Drosophila melanogaster: one gene and its partner. The gene in region 2 interacts genetically with the main gene of each other region. Each region holds a gene or a part of one and is shown on either strand. Other genes may lie near its edges.

Region 1 (6,299 bases), on a different chromosome or scaffold from region 2:
TGGGGATACAGACAGCGCGACAGCTGCAATTAATGGCGAAAACCTTGGACAGTGCGAAACTTATGCAACAAAATCGTCTGGGAGTCTTACCGATAATCCTGCGGATATCGTCGATATACTGCTTTAGGTAATTCACTTTGACTGTCTGCGGGGGGCGACGAATCACCGACGAGGCTTTCGAAAAGATATAGCTAGAGGAATGTGCGAGTACGAAATGTATCGAAATGTATCTCTGAGATGGAGCTGCGATTAACTACTTGTGGTCTAAACCAACGACAACTTACAGAGTTCTCTTCTTCCTAGCAACAACAAAAAACACTGAAAATCACTCGCGAAACGGAGGAGCAACAATTCGCTGATTGAACGGACTGGGAATTACTATTGGATTTGAAATGTATATATATTTTCACAGGTTCACAGGTTTCGGGCAACTTTCACTTTCGGTTTGGGAAACTTAGGGAACTGAGCAGCCTACACTCGCTGACGATCTGCGGAGCTATGAGCAGCAGCATCCGCCTGAGTTGCCTACGAAGCTTTTCGCATCCAAAAAATGGCTGCCCATATACCACTACAAGCGTACCTATGTATATACATACTACTCCTCAATCTCTTGCATAACCTTCAGCGACAACGACAACAACAGTGGGGCTGAGGAAAATGCGGGAAATTCTCCGGGTGACGTCATTGATTTTTCGGAAACCATCTTTGTTAAGGCCATTTTGCGTGGGCGGAGCTTCGGCCATGCGCGCCCCAAAGTATCCAACAGATACACATGAAATATGTGCGCACGCCTGGTGAATGCTAAAGAAATAATAAAACGGGATAAAGGGAAAGGAAAATATAGATTGTGATGGGGCGACCAAATGAAAAGCTAATTAACAAACTAATTTTGCCACTGTTTCTGACATTTACAATGACCCACAACTTTTTATGAGAGTTTCCTGTCGAATGAAACAAAAAAAAATAACCCTATAATTACTTTCATTTCCCGCATATATGTACATATGTGCGCTTAGATATAGAAGCCAAAGCATATAGATTCCTGGTATATAGAACAAAAACGAAATTTGGGTCAAAGCTAGGCCGCCCGCCCACTTGGGCTATGCAAAATAGATATGTATCTCAGAGTGAAATTGCATCATTTCCAATAGAACGCGTTTCGTAGCATACTTTTGAGGGCCAGAGAACATCTATGGCCATGTTATGCAACTTGGGTAAAGAGCCCAGGAGCAGCAGGACCAAAAAGGACGTCCATCAAACTGGAGAAGCTTAAACAACGAGAACCCTAGGAATACTTGCCGCAAAAGAGTTCCACCCACTCCACTTCCATTCTTATCTGACACACGGAGCAGCTGGCGTAGGATGTTACCACACACTTGGCACTTGGCACTTGGTCCTGCTGCTGCTCCAGCTCCTGCTCCCTGGGCAGGATCCAATGCGTCAGCGTATTTTCGTTGCGAGGGCTCTGGCACTTGAAAAGTGTCTTTCGATGTAACTGATTGCAACTTAAGAAGGCCATTACAGTGGCAATAACTCCCTTGCTAGTCCCTGTGATCCATCTTTTTTATTGAATGCCTGCAATATTGGCAAAATGAAGTCGACACTTGTTCAACATGACTTTCAAAACATTCTCATAGGGCGTAGTGCATTACTTTGTAGCACTAGCTAGAAGAAATCCAACGGCAGTTGCAGAAAGTCCATAAAGCCGTAATTGCACAACGAAATCGTTACTTTTGATGTGGCAACAACTGTGTGAAAGGACTTTCTTCGCAGTTTTTTAATTGTTAATTGCTCAATTGCTTTCTTGAAACAATAAAAACATTTTAGAAGACCTTAAGTGACAAATATGGCGCCTAATAGATATGAATTTGCACCCTACGCCTTAACATCTGCGTAACCCTTTAACAAAACCCATCCATCACAAGTGTCAGACAAATATTTCTGATACAAAAACAGCTCATGGTATTTAGAACCACTAAACATGGCGAAATAAAGTCGCCTGCTATCTGAAAAGCACTTCAACGGCATGTGCTACCAATAATAATTAGGCACTCGGTCTGCACTTATCGCAGATATATGGCAAACAGACCAGTCTGAAAAGGAGGGGGGGATCGGGTGTATCTGCGATAGTCTATCCTCTGATTCGCACTTGAATCTATGACACCGGCAGATAAAGCCATCAAAAACATTTATTATTAGTAAGTGGGATTTTCGTTTGGGCCGGTTTGGGCTCAGTTGAACAACTGCTACCATTTGTAGCGGACAGCTTTATATAAATCCCGTCGAGTTAAGGATTTAAGCATTTCGAGCGGAGCAGGTGCCACGAACAATCGGATTTAATTGAGTCAAACTTTTGGAAAAGCACAGTGAGTTGTAACAGGAAACGGAAACAGAAACAGAAACAGTAACAGAAACAGCAGCAGACATGGACAAACAAAAGGATTATGGGTTTAAGCCATTTTAAGAGCGATGTTTAAAATACTCTCAAAAATAATGGTTGCAATACAAGCATGTCGCCTTGCAGTCCCTTTTAAAAGTTATATGTACATTTTTAAGGAATATTTTAGTTAAAAGAATAGTCATATTACTAAAAATAACAAAGCTTTGAAGAACTATTTATTTGATTTTAATCAAACTAGAAAGCTGAAAGGGATTTGTAAAATTATCAAAAAATAAAACTATGCAGTCATTAAATATTTAATACTTCATTATAAACATTCCTTATTATTAATGATAGCAGATAAATAAATTGAGATAGATACTTTGCATCAGTAGAAATAGTTAGACAGGATCGATACCCTTTCATAAGAGCACAACTAGCGAATGGAATTGAACAATGAGATGAGCTCTCGACCAGAAAATAGGATGCTCACCTGGCTGTGATTGCACGTAGCGCAAGTAGGCCCTGTAACCCAGATAGGCGAAAATGTTTGGAGTCAAGTGCCACCCACGGATGCGGATGGAGCTGGGAGCTTGGGTCTGCTATTCTCGGGCGGCTAATTCAGACCGGGCGTTTCTGGCCAGGGCGAAGCGTCCTCTTTGGCACTCGACTCTCAACTGCCAGCCAGAGGCATCAGAAGCACAGTGGGCCAGGGAATGCTCCGCACCCCGGGGGCCATGAACATTTTTCGTTGCCCGTGGAAAACAAATGGGAGTTTGGGAATTTCGACTGTTTAGCCTGTCATTACGCTGACAAAATAAGATTCCAGCAGGTTGGTTAGCTGAGGCATTTATGTGAGGTATTTTCGACGAGAATCCCGTTGCAAAAGCGTTGTCAGGATGCCAGAATGCCAGGATGCCAGGTGGGAGTCTCAGTTGCGTTCGAAAGACAGGCGATTGCATAACCCCTTTCGGTTTGGCAAATCAAGCGAATGATATTCGGATAGCAAATGCTCGGGATAACAATGGTGTAAGGATTAGGCCCCGCAGGCAAGTACCCCAAACGCTGCTTTTTGCTGCCTATTTTTGAGAGCGCGATAATTGCATTTCGAGCACAATTGCTCCTATTGTACGGGGCCAAACAGTCTCCATTTTGGCCCAGTCCTCCCTGGAGGATAATACGCCCCAAACCAGCGTGAAAAACCCATCCCCCAGTTCCGTAATCTACCCATCTCTTTTCAGCCCAGCGATGGGAGAGCGTGTTGAAAAGCGACAGAGAAAAATGGGGGGATGTGGATTACAGCTCGTCATACCATTGGTCACAATCCTCATCCTGGCTGCGCAGGCGCAGGCTGTGACGTCATCGCCCGTCCTGAAGGACGACACTTTGGGGGATGCTGCTCCGACGGCAGCGCATTCAGCAGCCAAAATCCTTGAAGACGTCCAAACCATCAGCGCAGTTCAGGATTGGAGTTTGCTGTGTAAAGAGCTCTGCGGGTAAGTTTCGGATAAACAGCAATCGAAAACTCTAGGAATTACTGAAAGTAAGGTGCCTCGGCGCAAAGTGACTCAAGTGTTTATTGTTGGCAAGTGCAGGTTTCCCCCCAACACAAAAAAAAGTGCAAACTAATAATGATAATAATACGACACATTTACCAACTAAAATGTTGGCCTTGAGAAATCATTTGCAAATCGCGTCGGCCTTTCAAGTGGCTTCCATCGAGGTTTTCCCACAATCGCGTGTGTCAGGGAAATATAATCCGCATTCCTGATGATCGGTGGCTATATCAATGATTCGTGACTCGACTTTTGTGGCGTGTGTGCAGTAGTTTGTCAAGTGCCAAATATGTTAAGTATAAATGGCACTCGAAGTCGCCAGAAGTACTGTGCTCACTTAAAAAATTGAATAGGCTTTAAAAAATAAATTCTAAATGTCGGGTCAAAGCTAATCAAAATTATTTCACAATTTTACGATATATAATTTACAAATATTATTAATTAGAACATTTTGGCTTGCGTTTATATTTAAAATATACTCTGCATTATTTTTTAATTTGGTGTTTAATACTATTTAAAAATGTTTTGAAATAAATATATTTTTTACAAAAAAAAAAAACAGTTTATCAAGTCGAGATTTTCCTAGATCATTTGTGCTATTTAAAACTATGTTATCTGTAAACCTAGTTTCAATAACAATTATGCATATATCATGGTTCTTAACTTGGTAATGCGAGTGTCATATACTGTCATCTTAAATCTTTTTTTTTTTTAATTTACTCTGCATTGCAATTTAATCAGCATTTTATGGTTGATCCTTGCAGAGCTGGCCTGGGCGTTGCTTCAACGCCTGATGTGGCCAAAAACACAATCCTGAGACCGGAGACGGATGTGGCCAAGTGCCGGCAACTGTGTGGACTGCCTAGGGGTAAGTGGAAAATAATATATTGAAACTCTATTCAAAATATTATACTTTAATGATTATTATGGTCGAACTTAAGGTTAATTTGCTTTTTGAAAAATAAACATACTAATCAAATGCACTTATTTACTTCCAGCTAAAGCGGGCGACTTGGTCTGCTCGAGCTTTTGTGGTCAGATGGGTCGCTCCCTGCCCGGATGCAGTCCCTGCCAGCAGGAGGTGCGCAGGATGAGGGTGATGAAGGAGCGGAAGCAGGAGGAGGAGAAGCAGGAGGAGGTTCGAAAGGACGAGGAGAAGGCCAGTGGAGTGCTGGGCGATCCAACACACGGTTCCAGAGCCGCGGAGAATGCCGAACGGAGAGGATCGGTCGAGGAAGCAACAGTGTCCGCAGCTACCGTGGCAGCCGCCTCGGAAACGGACACAACCACTCCGGCACCGGACTGGGACGAAGTGTGCAAGGTGCTCTGCAAGACTGGCGATGGCGGGTCTTTGTGCAACTGTGATTTATCGCCGTTCTTCAGCTGAGCGATCCCCACCTTCCTGAGGGGATCGCTCCCGATGGAGGCGCTAAATCACAAAACCATATATATGGATCGAGAATTATCTGATTATCTGATGTTTTGTTGTTCTTCGTTTTTGAACTTCAGTTAGTGCTATTGTTGTCATGAAAAAGTATCTCCCATATATAATCTATATCGGAAAACGTGTTACGAAAGTTTAGTTAAATACTGTAAAGAGATAAAAACAAAAACTATAGAAAAATCAAAAAAAAAATCAAACAATTCAATATAAATAATACATAGAGAAGAATATACGATGAGGAGGAGGAGCAAGCAAACAAAAAAAATTCCCTATGCGAATCAATTAATTTGTAACTAATTTCAATTACAACTAACTATAGAAAAGCTATAGAGTAAGCAAGGGGGGGGACTTTACCCCCCACACTCGAGAAACAGCAGAATCACGCAGGGCTTCCAGTGCGTCGCCTCGGAGGATGAGGATGCCCTCCCAAAAGGCATCCGAAATCCCCGGGACGGACACAACCCGTATTTAGGTGATTGGTCAAGGAATTGGACTGAGGAGACACAAGAAGAGATATATGAAGATGAACAACCAATTAATATCAATGTACACAACATATCGTGCGGTAAACACTACCCAAAATCAAAAAACAAAAAAAAAAACACCCAATCACATTTATTTGGAATACACCTTGGTTCGATGGAATCAGCATATCAATTTACCACGAGGCAAAAACAAGTTGGTATCTAAAGAATTTCCTTTGTTTTGGCTTACAAGTTATTGGCGAATCTAAAGCATTGAGATATTTCAAATCAGCATCAATTAGGAGTGTCGCAATTAGGCCAAAGTGCCAACCAAGAGTTTAGTGTTGGTTACGGCCCTTAAACGCAAAAGCAACATTTATAAAATATATACTTGTACTTACTAACGAATAACACATGTAATTGGTCTATATATATATCCACAAAATGAGTTGCGA
Region 2 (6,280 bases):
CGTGGCGGGAATGGCGATGGGGCGAGGGAGGGCGTCGGCAGATGTGGGCGGGGCAGCAGAGCAAGTAGCGCAAAAATCTGCAATAAAATTTTACCAATAAACTTTAGACGCACACATGGACGGCCGTCCGACACAGATGCGGATGCCAGTGCGGATGCGGATGTGGATGCGGATGTGGATGTAGTGTGGAAGTGCGGATGCTGATGCGGAAGTGGGTGGTGGAATGCGGACAGGTGGAACTTTTTGGTGAACTATACTAAATTATTGTAGTTGCTGAAAAAGTTTTTGTTCCCCACACCCGCTTGCTCACTCACTCTCCATCGCCTGTCTGACACACGCAAAACACAGAACACACACACACACACACACACACACACACACACACACTCACAGAGTGGAGGATGGAAATTCGAACACCCTTCGACATGTCCTTAGATTCCTGGGACAAAGCACCTGGGTAGTATTCACTTTTTACAGACTGTTTACAACAACAGCACACCGCCTTTCTAGCAGTCAGCATTTCACTTTCTTCTACAATTTCTTTATGAGATTTTGAATCTTCAAAACTATTTGTCTCGTTGGCAAGGGGAGAACTAATGTTTTTAGCTTCAGCTCGAGGCTCAGGGATTGGATGCGCCGCATGCCGCATGCTGCATGCTGTAAGCTGTATGTTGCACTCGAAACTCGTAACCCGAAACTGGAAACTGCGAACCTGCAGAGTGTCCCTGTGACAAATGTGCCAAACTTGTCCCGCAGACTTTTTCCAGTTTGTGTAGCCCGGCTGTTTGTTGTTTCAGCTAGTTGTTGTTTTAGTTGGCCCACAAATACTCGCACCTCCCTGTTTTTTGGCCGGGCTTCGGGGTTGAGGGGCTCCGGAGTTCCGGAGTGCTGGGGGTCAGCACATTGTGGGTCAAAATTGGTGACCAAGGTCGCCGTGTTTGGCAATTGAAACTTTGCATTCCCAGCGGAATGGCGAGGCTGGCCAACCAAATTAATCCCAGGAATCCCATCTCATCTCCTCCTCCGCAACTTCACCGCAATTTTCATGTTTTATGTTAGTTGGCGTGGGGCTTAATTTATTGATTTGATACATGTGCCTGATGCCGATTCCAGCCCCGAATTGCCCCCAGGGCGTGAATTTGGATTTGTGATTTGTGTAATTTGTGCAACTGTCACTAATTTCTATTTCCCGCTTCATAATGCGACTGCGTGTCCTGTTCGTCCTGCTCGCCCTGTTGGTCCTTTTGGTGCTGTTGGTCCTGGCATTTCTCTGCTCCTATCATGCCACTAATAAGTTTGTCATTTATGGGATTTATGTGTGCAACTCTCGAAACGGGAGGCGTAAACAAGTCCGAGAAGGAACTCAAACGATTCGAGACTCAAGTAGGAGCAGGGGCACAACTTTCTTTCGCCAGTTGGTAACCCGGTCACGTATGCGTGTGGATACAATATGTCATAGTGCCAGGATGGCTATGACGCGGCGGAGAAGAGGGCCCAGGATCTTGAGTATCAGAGTGCCAGAATGCCAGAATGCCAGATTGCCGGAATGTCGGAATGCCGGAGCTTCGAGTTCGAGCGGCGAGTTCCAGAGTGCATCTCCTTGAAAACAGCATGTGTTGCGCACTGGCCACTACATATTGATCCCATTCAAAACCTTCCACACAGATCTGTAAGATCATTCGAGGATAAGGCGCTGCCGTTGCCTTCATCTCGCACCAACCAACCACTTACATGCCGATGTGGCCGAAAGTGCCGATAAAACTTTCACTAAGCCCCCCTGGTAAATGTCCCTGCACCAATGGCCAGCTGACGAATTTGGCGCGCGCTTGACATTAACGCGGCTAATGGTGAAAGTTTTATGCCTGGCTTCGGCTTCATAATGTGCAACACTTGAGCAACAAGGGTGGCCCCCATGCTCAACGCAGGAACTTAACTTCGGCCACCAGCCACCCGCCACCAGCTGCTTTGGATGTCTTGGCTGTCTTGGCTGCTCCTGCGGATAAGAGAGCGCTTAAGAGAGTCGTTTTTCGGATGCTGGGCACTGGCACTGGCACCCAAAATGGGCGCCCAAAAGTCTGACGGGACCGCCTCGCCAACGGTTGGTGTCTCCGAAGAGTCAACTTCGAAAGCCAAAGCCCTTTGAACGCCCAAGGATCCGGCACAGAGCTCGTTGGGGCCTCGGCTGCGCACTTCGTGATTCGGACTTCGCACTTCGGCCATTGGAATCCTATTCGGAGCGCTTCGGCCCAGTTAGGTCCTTCGGCGGCAGCGACGGCGGCAGCTGACTCGACAGTTGGTTATGAAATCTGAACGTGTTCGCACGTGCCGCACGGATCTCGCAGCAGCTAAAGCCATCAACTCAACTCAGTTCCACTCCAATCAGCACTTCAGTCGCATCGTATCATCCCAGACTCTGACCGCAAAGTGAAAGTAAAAGTGAAAGTGAATCTGTATCTGTAGCTGAACGTGAATGTGAACGCAAAGGATTCGAAGCTAAACTGAACTGAACTGAACCCAACTGAATGAATAGTCGAACAACAGTGTGTGAATCAGAGATTGGAATCATTTCAGGCCAAGACTTTGTGTTGCAAATCAGTGTTTTTGTGTTCGCGCTTCGTCCTTAGTTGCCATCCCTCATGAACTTTAACCAACTCAATCAACAAGCTGCACAACTAAGGTTGTACGAAATTTACCATCTAAGAATCACCCGATAGTAGTTATATTTCAATTTGTAGTATCCAGTATCCGTCGGCAATAAAGCATTTTTTTTTTGGTTTTTTTTAAACATTTTTTTAACGTTCTAAACAAAAAAGTAAAAACAAAAATCACTTAGTGCATATGTGTACAAAACATTTGGTTAAAGCCAAAAGAATAAAAGCGAGGAAAGCGAATCGAAAGGCAACAAGGACCTGAAACCGAGCTTAGTTCGACTGAATTTAAGTAAAATACCAAAGTGAGCAAAGTAAGTATGAGTTTTCGAGTTGAAATTACAAAGAGTTGGTGATTCCTAGCATACTTTTGTGGCCAATCAAACGGAATTCCGGGCAAATGTACAGTCATATTGAAATGGGAGCGGGAATAAATGTGAAATGCGAGCATTAGTTTCTTTGATGAGCTCCTCTCCACGGACTTACATTTGGATTTAGATTTAGATTCGGGTTCAGTCAACTGCCAGCGAATGTCGGCTATACATCCGACAAATGCGAGCACTCAGAGTGTCTGGCTTTGGATCGCAAATCAACAGGAGGAACGTCAAATTCAGATTTCAGATTTCAGATCCGAGAGGCCAGAGGAAATCCATACCGTACACACACACACTCGCACGCACTCACATTACAGCCACGCATACTCACTCATCTGGCATCTGTGGCTTGTGCTTAAGTTAATTATTATCAATTAATAGCTAATCACGATAAATGTGCATGAAAGCGTTGGCACAAGGACACAGCGATACGGGATGTCCTTGTCTAAGTGGGCGGTGGTGACGCAGAGTTCGGGTTTGGGGGAAAGCATTTAGGACAAGGCAACAACAACACAACAAATGGCTCTGGCATACGGTCGTGGATGGAAACGCAACAGCCTCCCTCTTCCGCTCCCTATACCCTTCCCATTGCCAAGTGCCCACGGGGCTCCTCACCTAGTTTGGCATCCTGTTGATTTGTCCCACGCTGCGTATAAGCGATTGGTATTAAAAGTACGCATACGCACTGTTGTCATAACCCGTGGCTGAAAAATAAATTACGCTGCACTCGGTCACGCCCAGAGTATGGATTTTATTTTATTTCATTTTCATTCGGAATATGCTTGTTTGTATCGGTTACTTTGTCAATTGCGGTAGTTACAAAAATTAGATTTTTGATTTCCATTCTTTCCGTTTGTTTGAAAAGTTTTAATGCAGAATTTAATGATAATTTAGGATATCAAATAAATTACATTTTGCACTTTCTGCGCATATTCATTAATTAAAAAAGACGCCATTTTTCTGAAGAATGAATTAATGTGAAACAATTTAAAATTGAATGTGCGCATTTAATACTGAGCTAGGCTTACGCGTTTGTCGTGATGAAAAATGGTATTCTAGACTTGTTGAAAAGTATGTAACATGCTGTTTATATAAAGGATATATATTCTTGACCAGACTCACTAGACGAGTTCATCTGGCCTTAACCGTTTGTCTGTCCGTCCTTTTGCTTGATTCAATTGCCACACACACAAAAAGAATGCCAATAGAATGAAGAAAAACTAGTCGAGTTAAGGGTATCTGACAGTCGAGAAATTCACGCATTCTCTCTCGTTTTTCTATTAAAATGGTAACATATTAATGACAGCCTAAGTCGCAAAAGCGTTTATTAATTATCAATGTGATGAAAAACTTCAGTGGCTGTTCGCCTGTTATTACAATATTATTATTGGCAAATGAACAATGAGAGCGCAAAATGGACGCATAAAAGCGAATATTTATGATCTTGTGCTGGAATGCCCATAAAATTCAATCAAAGTTGCAGTTCCCAGTCCCAATTTCTCGTTCGCCCCTCTTCACTCGTGGAATGAAATGCTCCGCGCTCCGTTCACCGGACTTTGGACTTTGGACACCGGTGGGCAAGTGAAGCCAAGTGAGGTTCGTCGTCTTGGGCTTTGATCTCCGCCTGGGATGCCCGGGAAACGCTGGGGTATGGGGGAGTGGAAAATACCAGGGGTGCTAGCCTGCGGTGGGTGGAGTTCACTGGGTGATGGGTGGACAACAATCACATTCGCCGTTGGAGTGCCCTCAATAAACGATATTTTATTCTTTTTTCCCTCTGCTGTTTGCCAGCTGCCCTCTGCTCCTTCCGCTCCTTGCAGCCTCCCAGCTGTCCTTCCTGTTTTCCGTCCCGACCGAGGTCCTTTTTTTTTTTTTTTTGCAGTAACCCATCTTTCTGTTCAGTTCAGTTCAGTTCTGTTCTGTTCTGTTCGGTTTTGTTCGCCTTTCCTGCTACCACCTTCTTTTTCCCTTTTATCGTTTCAGTTACAAAGCGGCGCGCACTTTACGCTGATTGCTCGCTGGCGCAATCGTTCCACAGGACACGGCTTCCATTTCCTCCATCGCGTCCTTTCTGGCCCTGCTCGCTTTCCCTTTGTTTTCCGCAGCAGCAGCACGCCCCCATTTTGCCCGTTTTTCCCCCATTTTCCTCAGTTTTCCCCTATGTGTGCAACTGGGCATCGATATCATTGGGTTTATTGTTACTTCCTTTTGCAATTATCCTTGTTAGTCGGCGCACAGGACAGGCCAATGCACAGTGGCTCCCATTTCTAGTGCTCACTGGCACTAACTTCATTTGCCTTTATTTTGCGCCCCGCATCGCAGCTTGGCTTTTTGCGCTGCATAAAGTATCTGGAATTGTCACCCGACTCCTGCTTAATAAACCAGCAGTCGGTCCTTTTCGTCTGGCAGCGTGTCCTGCATCCAGCGTCCTGCGGCTCCACTTGAGCTCCCTGCTCCTCCGCCGACGGAAGTGCGAGTTTTCCACCGCATTTCCATCCCCCTTAGCGCAGATTTGGTCGAAGTGGGAGGAAAAGCGAGAACGCACAGCGGGAGAAATAGACAGTGGACTTGGTCACTATAGTCGGTGCTTTTCACAAGCACAAACGTTTTATTATTTAAAACTTTAGTATTATATGACTCTCAATAGCTATTTATCCGGATTTTAAAACAATGATTATTGAAGACTTAAAACTCTGCGTTGCCGACGTATATTTTTATTTTAGGAAAAAAAAAATATATAAGGAATATAAATCAATGAAAATAAATCAAGATATATTTTTATATTTTATGCATTAATGAAAATCTTTGATCTTATTAACTTTCCTATTCCATGTTAATTCAAGAATGGTAGATAGACATTAGATTTAGTTTTCTCTATTGATTTCAAGGCAGCATTTTAACACGAGGATGTAAGTCCTTTTTTAGCCAGTTAAGCATGCTATTCAAATAATGGATGATAAACTTTGAATGCCAGACATGTACATAACTGGAAATGCTTAATTGATTTTTGTCCACTGCAGCTGAAGAAGAAAGCTGATAGAACACAAACTCAATCAAACTGTCAGCGACAACTCGCTTCGATTTTCTGCTGCCACGCCCACTCGTTGGTCAGCTGGTCATTTGGTCCGCAGGAGCAGAGGAACCAATAGATATAGCATCACTTCCAGTGACTTCCTCCGACCCTCGTGGTCCCCTATCTCCTATATCTATCCATCCATCCATCCAACCATCCGGTGGTGAGCACAACCAAGTAATAAA

Evidence for each region. A genetic interaction does not mean that the proteins touch.
Region 1: of Dop2R (region 2) and Gad1, changing one suppresses a phenotype caused by changing the other (phenotypic suppression), as found in Drosophila melanogaster (one study listed by BioGRID).

Annotation. Positions count from the first base shown.
Region 1 is NT_037436.4:4,085,339-4,091,637, forward strand, and holds the start of Gad1 (glutamic acid decarboxylase 1), read right to left. Parts: upstream 3,407-6,299; 5' UTR 2,874-3,406; intron 2,367-2,873; exon of another isoform or gene 2,243-2,366; intron 506-2,242; exon of another isoform or gene 285-505; intron 192-284; exon of another isoform or gene 91-191; intron 1-90. Other genes in the region: CG14989 (uncharacterized protein), read left to right, coding at 3,629-3,876, 4,701-4,804, 4,935-5,323. UniProt on the Drosophila melanogaster protein: Catalyzes the production of GABA.
Region 2 is NC_004354.4:20,058,737-20,065,016, reverse strand, and holds the start of Dop2R (dopamine 2-like receptor), read left to right. Parts: upstream 1-2,310; 5' UTR 2,311-2,962; intron 2,963-6,280. UniProt on the Drosophila melanogaster protein: Receptor for dopamine. The activity of this receptor is mediated by G proteins which inhibit adenylyl cyclase.